Cricetulus griseus: one gene and its partner. Each later gene encodes a partner of the first gene's protein in a complex. Links are inferred from orthologs where the notes say so. Each region holds a gene or a part of one and is shown in the gene's direction. Other genes may lie near its edges. The genes, in order: Ogdh and Tcaim.

Region 1 (6,063 bases):
GGAACTCACTCTGTAGACCAGGTTAGCTTCGAACTCAGTTCCACCTGTCTTTGTCTCCCAAGTGCTGGAATTAAAGGCGTTCGAAACCACTGCTTGGCTAGGTCCAATTTTAAAAGGATTCTCTTGAGTGATCCTCTCTTGCAAACTTCTGGTATCATGGACTGAGGCAATAACACAAAGAAAGCTTTCTTGTGTAGGCCTAGAAAAGCAGGATTCCTTAGTGCCCAAAATCAGCCAGTGTTACAGTGTGGGGTATGAGACCCTTGACGGTAAAGATTTGACACCTCTCTGTGACTCTCTTTTAGATCGAATGAGGAACAAGGACTCCTGAGTACCAAGGCTGCATTTAAGCTACAACAGCAAGCTCTAACCAAGAGCTGAGGAATCTTGGCTTCCTAGCCCCATGTAAGAGCTTATCACTGGTAGGGCCCAGGACTCCAATACCTGAGAAGGAAGACAACTCAGGTGTGCCATTTGCTGCTGTTTCTGCCATGCATCATGGCCTGTCACTGCTGCTAAAGACCAGATCTTGAAGAGCTTACTCATGACTTCTCTTCCAGTAGGGCAAAAGGACTCCTGAACCGTCTCATTCATAGCACTGGTACCATCTGACATACATAGGCAAAGGTAAACTGCCTCAAATCATAAGGTATTTTAAAGTCTGTATTATTGTCCAGCAAAAACTTTGAGCCTATATTCTGTACTCTGTTAAAAAACAGAAATTGGAGTGGAGTTAAAGGCCATGAGCCTGTAATCTTAGTACTTGGTATATGGAGGCAAAGGAACAGGAGTTCAAGGCCAGCCTACATTATGAGTTTGAGGCCAGCATGAGCTACTGTCTCAAACAAAAACAACAAAAGACATGAAAATGAAATGAACCATTCCCCTTTGTGAGACTGGATCCAGCTATGTAGCCCAGACTACCCACAAGACCTCTATGTAGTCCATCTTGAACTCCAATTGGTCATAGCCTTCCCAGTTCTGGGATTATAGGTGTGTACTTTCAAACATGGCTGAACATTTTTACACTAGGAGCTGTAACATGAATTCTAATTGTTCTTAATAAAAACTCAGAGTCAGAAATTGGGGCTGGGGGAAGATCAGAGAAGCAAAGCAGCCAGCCACTAGCTCTTTCTTTTCTTTTAAATTTACTTTATGTGTATTTGTGTGAAGGTGTCAGATCTCCTGGAATTACAGTTGTGAGCTCCTGTGTAGGTGCTGAGAATTGAACCTGGGTCCTCTGGAAGAGCAGCTACTGCTCTTAACAGCTGAGTCATCATCTCTCCAGCCCCCACCAGCCACTAGTTCTTACCTCTACCTCAGACCAAATAGGCGATCCTGACTCCACAAATCCTCAGATTGAAATACTAACTGCCTTAGACTGACCGCTTAGACTGCTAGACTGCCCCAGCTCCTGTCTCCTCCAGCCTTATACTCCTCTCTCCGCCTAGCCATATCCCTTTCTGTCTCCACCTCCTTAGTGCTAGGAGTGCTTTAATCCTATAAAGGTGTGCCACTCCAAGTGCTTCGATCACCTTTGTGTGAGCTCTGTTTCTCTTTTAGACTGGATCAATTTCGTGTAGCTCAGGGTGGCCTTGAACTAACAGAAATCAGTCTTCCTGTCTCACCAATGCTCAGATTAAAGGTGTGCACCACTGCTGCCTGGCCTCTATGGCTAACTAGTGTGACTAGCTTTGCAGTCTGATCTTCAGAAAAGCTTTGTTAGATCATAAACAAAATATTACCACAGGGAGCATTTCTTGGCCAGTGGAGTGTGACAGGTTAATTAGTGGCATTCTGCCTGTTTATAGCAGGCTCTGGAGCCAGGCCATCCAGGGGCATCCCAGCAGAGCTTCCTGTCAGAATGCAGGTAGAAACACCCAAGTGTAACTTGTTATACAATAGGACTAACTACTCTTCACAAAGACTGCTGCAAAACAAGTGTTCAAAAATGTAGATCTTGTTAGTCAAATTATTTTGTGCAGTGGTAAATTTCACCAACCCAACTATTATTTAGTGCAGCTTGTTTCAGATACAAAGCCGGCGGGTCTTTAAGTCGCCACGCTCATGCTTCCGCTCGCCAAACGCCGCAATTACAGGAGTGCACCACACGCCATGAATTTACTGGAGTCTTAGCCAGGCTTTGGAAGCTTCTCATGTTTAACTACTAATGACAGTGGAAGCGCGGTGAGCAACAGGCCGACTTCGGCCAGTGGCCAAGTTCCGCATTGGCGCGAAGCCGGAGTGACTGAAACGTGACGTCATGACACGCCTACAGGCCTTCGTGCAGGCCGCTCCTCTGGGGCCGGGCTACGCGCTGACGCCACACGCCGGGGCGGGGCCGAGAGTTTGGAGCCCGGAGTGGGGTGTCGGCGCCTCACTCGGGTGGAGCAGAACGGGAGACAGGTAACCTTGCGCGGCGGACGGGCTCAGTCCAGTGCTGGGAGGTTCGGCGCTTGACACCCGAGGCTTGCGGCCGAGGGTGAGGCCTACACGCCCTTGCAGCCGGGGCACCTGAGTGACGGGTGTGGAGCCGGACCTAGCCGGGCTGACGGAGGGCGGCGATGGTGGGCGGAGGACGAGGCCTGATGGACAGGCGTCGTAGCCAATGGGGTGGCAGGGTCCGCCTGGCAGGCGGGGATTGGCGAACACGGACGGGCGCCGGGGGTCGCCGGGGCGAGCGCTATTGGCTCTGGCGGCGGAGCTTCGGAGGCGGCGGGCTAGGGTGTCGGTGGCTCGGCGGCCCGGGAGAACCCCAAGGTCGCGGCGCGTCACGTGGTCCGGTCGCTTCCTCCGGCCCGCGCGCGTTCTTTTGTCCTGCGTGCTCTGACCCCAGCAGGCCGCCGTCCTTGTGGTCGCCGCGCCCGGTCACGGCGCTGACCTTGGTGCCTGCGGCAGCCCCACCTGCCGGTATGAGGTAGAACAGGCAACGGGCCAAGGTGACACTGGTTTCCCTAGAAACACCATCCACGCACCGCTTTCCTCGCGAGAGTGTGTGACAGATGTGACTTAATCCGCTGAGTGACTGGGAAGCCCGCTACGTGCTCTCTCGCCTGAGTTAGCAGATCATGTTCCTTTTACCCACCGAGCAGTGTGCCTGTCGCTGAAATGACAAGTTCGGAAAGAGTACTCACGTGGCAGACGCCAGTGTTAAGACAGGAGCCCCGCGGGTAGGGCACAGGAATATCTACAGGGTGAGGTGTGGAGAAGGGGAGTTAAAGGTAATGAGAAGGGAAGGGCTAGGTGTTGTGCGCATGCGTAACCCAACTTCCTGATTCGCTCTGCAGGATCAGAAAATGGCGCCGTTGTCATTGGAGGGTGGAGTTTTAGACCCTTGACGTCAAAAGGTCACTCAAGGAGCACCTCTGCAGGCCCAAGTCAGTGGTGTCACCAGTTTCAATTGAGGCCTCGTGGTACATGAGAACAATTTAGATAGGATGATCCTAAGTCGGAGGTGTTATCTATATATAGCGAAGCCAGTTGGAATGTGCAATTCAGCTTCTTCACCTCTAAGCAGAATCAAGTAACTAAAAACAAAAGTAAGCTTTTTTTTTTTTTCAGATTTTCTGTGGATTTCATTACTCTTACAGGCCCGAATCGTGTCTGTGCATCCCATGCTATGGCACTGAGCAGAGGACACTGTTGGCGTTTGCTAGTTTGCCTGGTCTTGTAGTCCTGCCCTTGAGGTGGCATTAGAATGAGTGACACTGTAATTGACTTTTCTCTTTTTCTAGTCTTTGTCACTTTGCATCCCATATTATGCAGTTTTCTTTTTTATTTAAAAAGTTAACATTTATTTATTCGTATGTAGGGGAACAACATGCTCCTGTGACAGCGCTTGAGTAGGTGTCATATGACAACTTGTGAGACTTGGTTTTCTCCTTTCACCATGTGTGTCCTGGGGATTGAATTTAGGTGGCCAGGTTTGGTGGCACTGTTCAATCTTGGAGGCCCCCCCCCATACGTACACATTTAGGTTTGCTTATCTTTTTGATAGATTGACCTTTTCATTATTTTTCTGTCCCTCTCAGTCTCTGGTAATTGCCTTTTCTTTGCTGTCTGCTTTATTAAATAATAATAGGGCCATTCTTAGAAATATGTGGATTTTTCAAGACAGAGTTTCTCTGTAGCCCTGGCTGTCCGGGAACTCTATCTGTAGACCAGGCTGTCCTTAAACTCACAGAGATCCGCCTGCCTCAGCCTCCCAAGTATTGGGATTAAAGGCGTGGGTCATCTCTACCTGGCATGAAATAATGTGTTTTCAACTTTAGGTTCTGTGTTACTATCTTTGAAGTGATATTGTCGACAAGTATATACTTGATTTTGTTTTATCCACTGCCTGTTGGTCTTCTGATATGTTAGGATTTATAGTGGTATGCTAAAATTTAAGGCTTTCATTTAGCTATTCTAGTTTCATTTCTCTGCTTTCTTTGTACTGACTCTTCTGGGTTACTTTCAGTATACATACAACCAAGGCTCACCTTGAACTCATGATTATCCTCTTGCCTCAGCCTTCTAAATGGTGTTTTCTCTGGTGTTTGACTGCAGTAGGAAAATTGTTTAAATTTTTCATCTTGCTGCTCCTGTCACTATCCTTTGGCTTAAGAGCATAGGCTTTGTGCCTTCTCTTGTCTACATCTGTTGGCATTTCTTTCTTTTTTTTACTTTCCTTTTTTGTTTGTTTGTTTGTTTTGAGACAGGGTTTCTCTGTGTAATAGCTCTGGCTGTCCTGGAACTGGCTCTTATAGACCAGCCTGGCCTCACACTCAGAGAGATCTGCCTGCCTCTGCTTCCCAAGCCCTGGGATTAAAGGCGTGTGCCACCACTGCCCAGCTACTTGTTGGCATTTCTTAGATCTTCTCTATTACTTATTCTGGAACATGTGCCACAAGGGTGGTACTCTTTCAGTGCTCTATCTGAGTCTCTTCAGGTGCCAAGATTCAAGGTTCAAGTTAGTTTGCTTTTTCTGTCAACCTTTTTGAGACTTTTGTTTTATATTTAACATTTATGTTTGTGGCTGAGTTTAGCAGGAAACAAATTCTTTATGTGCTTTAATAAAATGTTGACAGATTATCATGCTTTCTATAAAGATTTCATAATTTTCACTCTTTAAGAACATATTATTTTCAGCTGGGCAGTTGTGGTGCATGCCTTTGATCCCAGCACTCGGGAGGCAGAGGCAGGCGGATAGATCTCTATGAGTTCAAGACCAGCCTGGTCTACAAGAGCTAGTTCCAGGACAGCCTCCAAAGCCCAGAGAAACCCTGTCTCAAAAAAACAAAAACAAGAATAAACATTGTTTTCTTTGAGATAGGGCCTAATTAATCCAGGCTGGCCTGGAACTCGAGGTGCACTTCCCTTCACCTCCAAAGTACTGGGGTTACAGGTGTGTATCATAATGCAACACCTCTTAAAGTGCTTCTGTACTTCTGCCCTCACCAGTCTGCCTGCTTAGACCCTTGCAGTATTGGGCACCTCTGATGTTGCAGAACCACAGATAGAGAAAGAGCACAGCAGTCTTCACACTCCGGTACATAGATTAGCTCAGTGGTCTGACTTTGGAAGTGCTCCTAGATGTAGGCCCGCTTGTGGCTAGATGGGCTAAGTAAGTCTTGTGTTAAATAATGGAGATACTCTACTAATGTTTCACAAGTTAGAGTAATTGCCATACCAACGTGGCTGATGTTTACTTATCTTGGGACCTTGACTTTCTCAGACATCTCTGTTGGCTTCTTATGAGTTATAATTGTAAGTTGACCTCCTTGTAAATTACAATTCTTTAGTCACAGAAGTACTTGAAGTTTACAAAGTGCTTTAATGTTTGTATTATAATTACAAAAAGAAAGAAGAGAGACAAGAATAATTACTGTCTCTACTCTTTGGTTCAAAGATAATGAGCAGGTCAGGTCTAGTATGTAATGCTTACATAGCAAGTTGGTATCATTGATACCTATACCACTATCAGTAAAGTGCTTACTGTGCAGGCATGAGGACCTGGGTGTGGCAGTACATGCTTGTAATCCTAGGTCTGGGGAGGCAGAAATGGATAGATCCCTGGGGCTT
Region 2 (5,917 bases), on another chromosome or scaffold:
TAATTTTTTAAAGATTTTTTTGTTATGTATACAATTTTCTGCTTCCATGTATATCTGCACACCAAAAGAGGGCACCAGATCTCATAACGGATGGTTGTGAGCCACCATGTGGTTGCTGGGAATTGAACTCAGGTCCCCTGGAAGAGCAGTTGGTGCTCTTAACCTCTGAGCCATCTCTCCAGCCCTTACAAAAATAATTTTCAAAATGTTCTCATTAGCTGGACTCCTAAAGTTATAGTAACATAAAATTAAATGTCTTTTCTTTCAATATAGCTCTTTGAAAGCTTGCCAAATTATTTTGATCTTCAGAGGAGGATGTCAGTCTTAGAAGACCAGATAAGCAGTCTTCTAGGGGGCATCCAAGTGGTTTATATCGAAGAGCTACAGCCAGAATTCACAATTGATGAGTACTACTCCCTCCTCAATGTGTTCTATAATCAGCTGCTGAAAAGTAGGGTACCGTCCCACCCTCAAGGTCTGAGCGGCTTGCAGATGATCCTCAGCAGGTAAACATCTGGAACTGGATCGATGGATGGATGGATGAATGGATGGATGGACGGACGGATGGATGTGTTTCAGGACAATGACCTGATTTTTTGTTTCATAGCATGGTTCTTGTAAATTTAATAGTAATATAATAATGAAAGAAATGAGTGTCTGGAAGAATGGTTCAGTAGTTAAGAATGGATGCTCCTTTGGCAGAGGATTCCAATTCAGTTCCCAGGGCCATGTCTGGCAGCTCATAACCACCTGTGATGCCAGCTCCAGCCCACCTCAGGCACTGCACTCACTTGCAAAGACAGACAGAGACATTATATATGTGTTCAAATGATTTTTTACAATGGAGGCCATGCATATGGTACACACCTTTAATCCCAGTACTCAAGGCAGAAGAAGAGACTCACAGCCAGCCTCAGCTGAACAATGCAACCCCTTATCAAAAACAAAACAAAGAATGTCACTACTTGTGAAAAGAATTGTATTTACAGCCCTGTTCTGCATATGTCAAAAGCCAAGCTGAATGGCTGAAGAGTGGATCTCTACAACAATCTTTGAAAACATAGCCACTGATCAGGGAAGTAAATCACTCAATCATGATGTAAAGTCAGTAGGTAGCGTGCACTCACACACACGTGTGTGTGTGTGTGTGTGTGTGTGTGTGTGTGTGTGTGTGTACTCGCTACCTGCATTATCCTATGTGGTTAAATGCAATCTCAAGTATTCACAGACTTACCTTGAAGCTAGTCCCTGCCATGTCACAGACAACAGCATGTCATCATCGTTGTTGCTGTAATTTAATATGGATTTTCTGATGACTATTCTTTAGTCACTTGAGATAAAAAAAAAAGCATTGTCTGTGGAAGTGGTGATGTTTCCCTTAATACACACTTTGTTTCAGTGACAGGTATGAGCCAACCTTGCATGAACTTGGACATTTTAACATCCCAGCCCTCTCAGATCCAGCAGGCCTCCAGTCATTTATGAGAGCCAAAGCTCGGCAGGCAAGAGAGAACATGACCAGAAGGGAGGAGTAAGTGCTGTCCACTTCCAGGATGTTTGAGGGCATGACTTTCAGACAGATAATAGAATGCATTGTCTGCATTTCAGTTGTTTTATTCATGCATGGCTGTTTTTCTCTTGGTATCAGCAGGGACCAAAGAGGGCATTGGAACCCCTGAAGGTGGAGTTACAGGCAGTTGTGAGCCACCATGTAGGTGCTGACATTTGAACTTGCATCTCTGTGAGAATCACAAGTGCTCAAGACTGCTGAGCCATCTCTCTAGCCCTGTTATATTTAAACTTTAAAGTGTAACCAGTTCAAAACTAGTCCTGTTTCTGTGTTGTTTATAACTTGGAATCACTTGACAGCCAGTGGTTCCTCATCACAGATTTGAAGCTGTAGAGTCCCTTGTAGAGGAGAAAGGGTAGGAATGGGTCCACATAAAGGAATGGACAGACAGGTGGACAGGACAGCAGGTTCAGATGGTGAGCAGGAAGGGAGAAACAGCTCGGGAGCAGGGTACAGCCTGATCTCAACATCCTAATAAGGATTTATACTCGTAGTTTTTTCTTCACTTAGTCACTATTAGTGTCTAGGGGAGGTGTATGCAAGCTTTTTAAACTATGTACTATTAGACTGGAGAGACGGTTCAGCTGTTAAGAGCACTGATTGCTCTTCCACAGGACACAGGTTCGATTTCCAGCACCCACATTGTACCTCATGACCATTTGTAACTCCAGTTCTGGGAATCCAACACCCTATTCTGGTTTCCAAGGGCAATGGGCACACAGGTGATGCACAGACATCCATGCAGACAAAACGTCCATACACATTAAAAATAATAAATGTTTGGAAATTAGGAATAAAGTGTGTATCATTTTTACTTCACTAATGCTAAAAAGATTAAGTACTTTTATAGTTTTATGTAGAAATAAATCAACCAGTACTGGGCACAGGATAACTCTTGGCATGTCTTTTCCCCATGACTGCCTTGTATGGGCACTATGCAATCACCCCAACATTTAAGAATATATATTTTATCTTATTTAATAATAGCTTATGACAATTTTTTTTATTTAATAGGTTAAAAGTTATTGAAAACGAGTTGATTCAGGCTTCAACAAAGAAGTTTTCCCTGGAGAAGTTATATAAAGAGCCCAGCATTTCTAGTAGACAAATGGTGGACTGTTGTAAGAGACTTCTAGGACAGTCCCTGCCTTATCTACATGGGATGCGCCTCTGTGTGTCACATTTTTATTCTGTTATGCAAGATGGAGACCTGTGCATCCCCTGGGACTGGAAGAAAGGAGAAGCTACCAAGTAACACAGATAGCTGTTTTACTTTCTGGAGAAATGAGAAACTGTTGAATTTATTTAAATTCAGTTTGATATATTATTAGTGTTCACAGGTTAGAACACAGTTCCTGACTGCTGCTCTAAAAGTGGAGTGAGCCTTCCTTTGTGGTAATTTTATGCTAAGAAACTTATCTTTCAAAGGTTTTATCCCCTAGTTTTATGATGCTGATGGCTAGGCAAAAAGATCCTTAGAAAGAAAACTATTTTAAAGATATGTAATAGAGAGTTTGGTAAGTCATATATTTTTATATGAGTGGATGTGTGTGTATAAAAATTGACCTCATTCAGTATAGCTCTTTAGTACTAGAACTCATTTTTACATCCAACACAGTTCAATGTATGTCTTCATAGTTACATCTCATAGACACACACACTTTGTAGCCAGTAATGGACAGTTATGTTCAAAACAGATGATTGATGAGTAGCAAAAATTAAATAACCACGTTTTGTTTGAGAAAGTTCTGTTTTTGTTTTTTGTTTTGTTCTGTTTTTGTTTTTGTTTTTGTTTTTCAAGACAGGGTTTCTCTGTGTAGCCCTTGCTGTCCTGGCACTCACTCAGTAGACCAGGCTGGAACTCACAGAGATCCGCCTGCTTCTGCCTCCCGAGTACTGGAACTAAAGGCATGTGCCACCACCACCCATTGAGAAAGATTTTTTAAAACCCTATTAAACATATGCTATCAACACTGTTTGATACTAGTTTATTTAAATACATGATTTCTTCTACCAATCAAAATATCTGTAGAGCATGTATTTGGTAGACAGAGGCCCTGGGTTCCATCCCTAGTACCAAGAATGAGTCAGATGTATTATTGTCATTAATCCAGAAGCTCCTCCTAAAAGCTGTCAGCACTGGCCCAGGTACAGCCTGCAGCCTCCTGTGATCTCTGATGTCTCCCACATAGTGGGAGGCCACTGTCTATTCAGAGCAGACACACACACACACACAAACACACACACACACACACACACACACACACACACACTCTCTCTCTCTCTCTCTCTCTCTCTCTCTCTCTCTCTCTCTCTCTGTCTCTGTGCCCTTCTCCCCTGAGGAAATCCTGAGTTTTTCCCACGGTGCATCAGAACAAAGGAGACATTACAGTCAGTTTTTCATGTTTTGGACTTTTATAAAACATTAGTTATTTAAACAGTTCAATTGTATGTTCAAAATAAGAACTGAATTGTAAAAGGAGTATGTGTGCCATTATTGTTTTGACCCATGCTAATTAGACAAATGTTGCTATAAATACTATCCAAAATATTCTACATAAGAAAGAGTCCTCAAGTTGGGTTTAGTGGTGCACGCCTTTAATCCCAGCACTCAGGAGGCAGAGGCAGGTGGATCCCTGTGAGTTCAAGGACAGCCTGGTCTACAAAACAAGTTCCAGGACAGCCAGAGCTGTTACATAAAGAAACCCTGTCTCAGGGTGGGGGAGGAGGAAGAGTTCACAAAGATAGGATAGTTTATTGGAAAATTGATTATGCCACTTGTAACATCAGCTAACACAGAATCTTCTGTGATGTGTGTTGAACTGGATTTGTCTCCAAACTAATTGTTACATAATAAAAAAATACCTTGTTGACCATATAGCTGCTTTTCTTGTTTTCTGGTTGTTAAAGTTTGACAACTAGTAGTTGTAAGAAATTGTTAGAAGTGATCTTTTGGACTTCATCTCAGAATATTTGTGCTTCCCCCCACCACAGAGAGAGCAGGTGAAGCCTCTGGTGTGAAATGGATCCAAAGAGACCTGCACTCTGAGCACAGCTGAGCTGCCCCCACAAGGAGAGCTGGGGCTAGGTCCCTAACTACCAGACTGTCTGTTCCCAGCATGGGCTGCCAAAGCCCTTCTCCCTCCCCTCTGGAAAGGCCTCTACCCCTAAGGAGCCTCTGAGTTGATGAGTGACAGGAAGGCTTTGAGAAGTGGGCACATGAGATGAAGGGCCAAGGGCAGTTCACTACTGGAGCCTAAACACTGGGCACATAGCAGCCAGAGGTTCTTCACTGAGGGCAGTGTAGGCCAGGTGGTGGTGGTGGTGGGTGTGGGTGTGCTCTCTATGGGTACCTGGAAGCACACTGGAGGAGGGACAGCCTGTGCTTCTCAGCATCTCAGGGTGCAGTCACTTGATGGCATCAAGGGCAGACCTCCCCAGTCTCAAGCCCAAAGTACACAGCCCTATCCTGACTATCAGTCAATTTCCTTAGGCTCACTTCACACCAAAATCCCACCTCTGCAGGGACCCTGCTTGCCCACAGCCTGGCAGGATCTGGTCTTGTCTACACCACCTTCACCCTGAGGGTTGCTCCCTGCCTACCTAATAACTGTGGGCGGGCTGAAATTTCTCTGCCATCCAGTTTTGCCCAATGGTACAAACACCACCCTTTTTGGTGTAGTGCTGGAGACTGAACTTGGGAACTTGTGCCTGTTAGGGCAAGTGTTCTACTGAGCTACATCTCCAGCCAAAACACCCTTTTATTTCCTGTGTGTGTAAAAGTATGTACAGATCAGAGGACAACTTTTAAGAGCTGATTGTCTCTATCATAGGGATCCAACTCAAGAGCGGGCTCTGTGGCAGGTGTCTTTACCAGCAGAGCCATCTTGCTAGTCCTAGAAACTCTTTCATAGCTATTAAGGAGTTACATGTTTTTATTGTGGGGACAGATGACCCTCTCAAGCAGTCAGTGTTACAGTGTTCCTCTTGAGTCTGGCCTTTTATGTAAACCACTGTGACTAGGGGCTCCAAATGGTCATAGCCTAACTGTTAAGGGATGGGAATCCTGCTTTTATTTTTAGCCTTTTATCTCTACATAAACTATTCATTTCCTTTGGAGAAGTGTTGTTTTTCTTTGTTGGCATCTTGTAAAACACAGCTGCATCCAATCAAGACTCAAGAAAACAGGTTCCTCATCTCCCCAAAGCCCTTAATGTCTTCACAGGCCTATGTACAGATTTGAGCATGCCTCCAGTGTCCTTGTTAGCGAACCTGACCCTGTTCCCAGCTGGGCATTATTGCACCTGCCTGTCCACCTCCTCATGAGTCAGAGGAAAGAGAGTAGAA

Evidence for each region.
Region 2: the proteins of Ogdh (region 1) and Tcaim are in contact, whole or in part, in a cryo-EM structure (PDB 8I0K), measured with the Homo sapiens proteins. The link is inferred for Cricetulus griseus from reciprocal best matches to the Homo sapiens genes OGDH and TCAIM. Residues at the interface, in NP_001425937.1 of Homo sapiens: Gly301, Tyr304, Arg323, Tyr354, Arg356, Ile358, Arg364, Asn365, Lys387, Glu391, Tyr394, Cys395, Gly396, Thr398, Glu399, Lys401, Lys402, Lys561, Met602, Pro605, Glu667, Gly668, Ile669, Asn709, Met734, Ala735, Ser736, Pro737, Asn738, Gln772; in NP_001269842.1 of Homo sapiens: Glu214, Gln234, Arg235, Ser236, Trp237, Gly238, His241, Ser244, His247, Ser248, Arg251, Gln255, Asp272, Arg273, Thr286, Met287, Asp288, Val289, His290, His291, Glu331, Leu332, Gln333, Pro334, Val335, Arg375, Tyr376, Glu441, Ser443, His473.

Annotation. Positions count from the first base shown.
Region 1 is NW_023276807.1:98,577,631-98,583,693, reverse strand, and holds the start of Ogdh (2-oxoglutarate dehydrogenase, mitochondrial), read left to right. Parts: upstream 1-2,283; 5' UTR 2,284-2,406; intron 2,407-3,080; exon of another isoform or gene 3,081-3,221; intron 3,222-3,349; exon of another isoform or gene 3,350-3,539; intron 3,540-6,063. UniProt on the Homo sapiens protein: 2-oxoglutarate dehydrogenase (E1o) component of the 2-oxoglutarate dehydrogenase complex (OGDHC). Participates in the first step, rate limiting for the overall conversion of 2-oxoglutarate to succinyl-CoA and CO(2) catalyzed by the whole OGDHC.
Region 2 is NC_048597.1:229,756,257-229,762,173, forward strand, and holds the end of Tcaim (T-cell activation inhibitor, mitochondrial), read left to right. Parts: intron 1-273; coding exon 274-506; intron 507-1,399; coding exon 1,400-1,531; intron 1,532-2,584; coding exon 2,585-2,825; 3' UTR 2,826-4,448; downstream 4,449-5,917. UniProt on the Homo sapiens protein: May regulate T-cell apoptosis.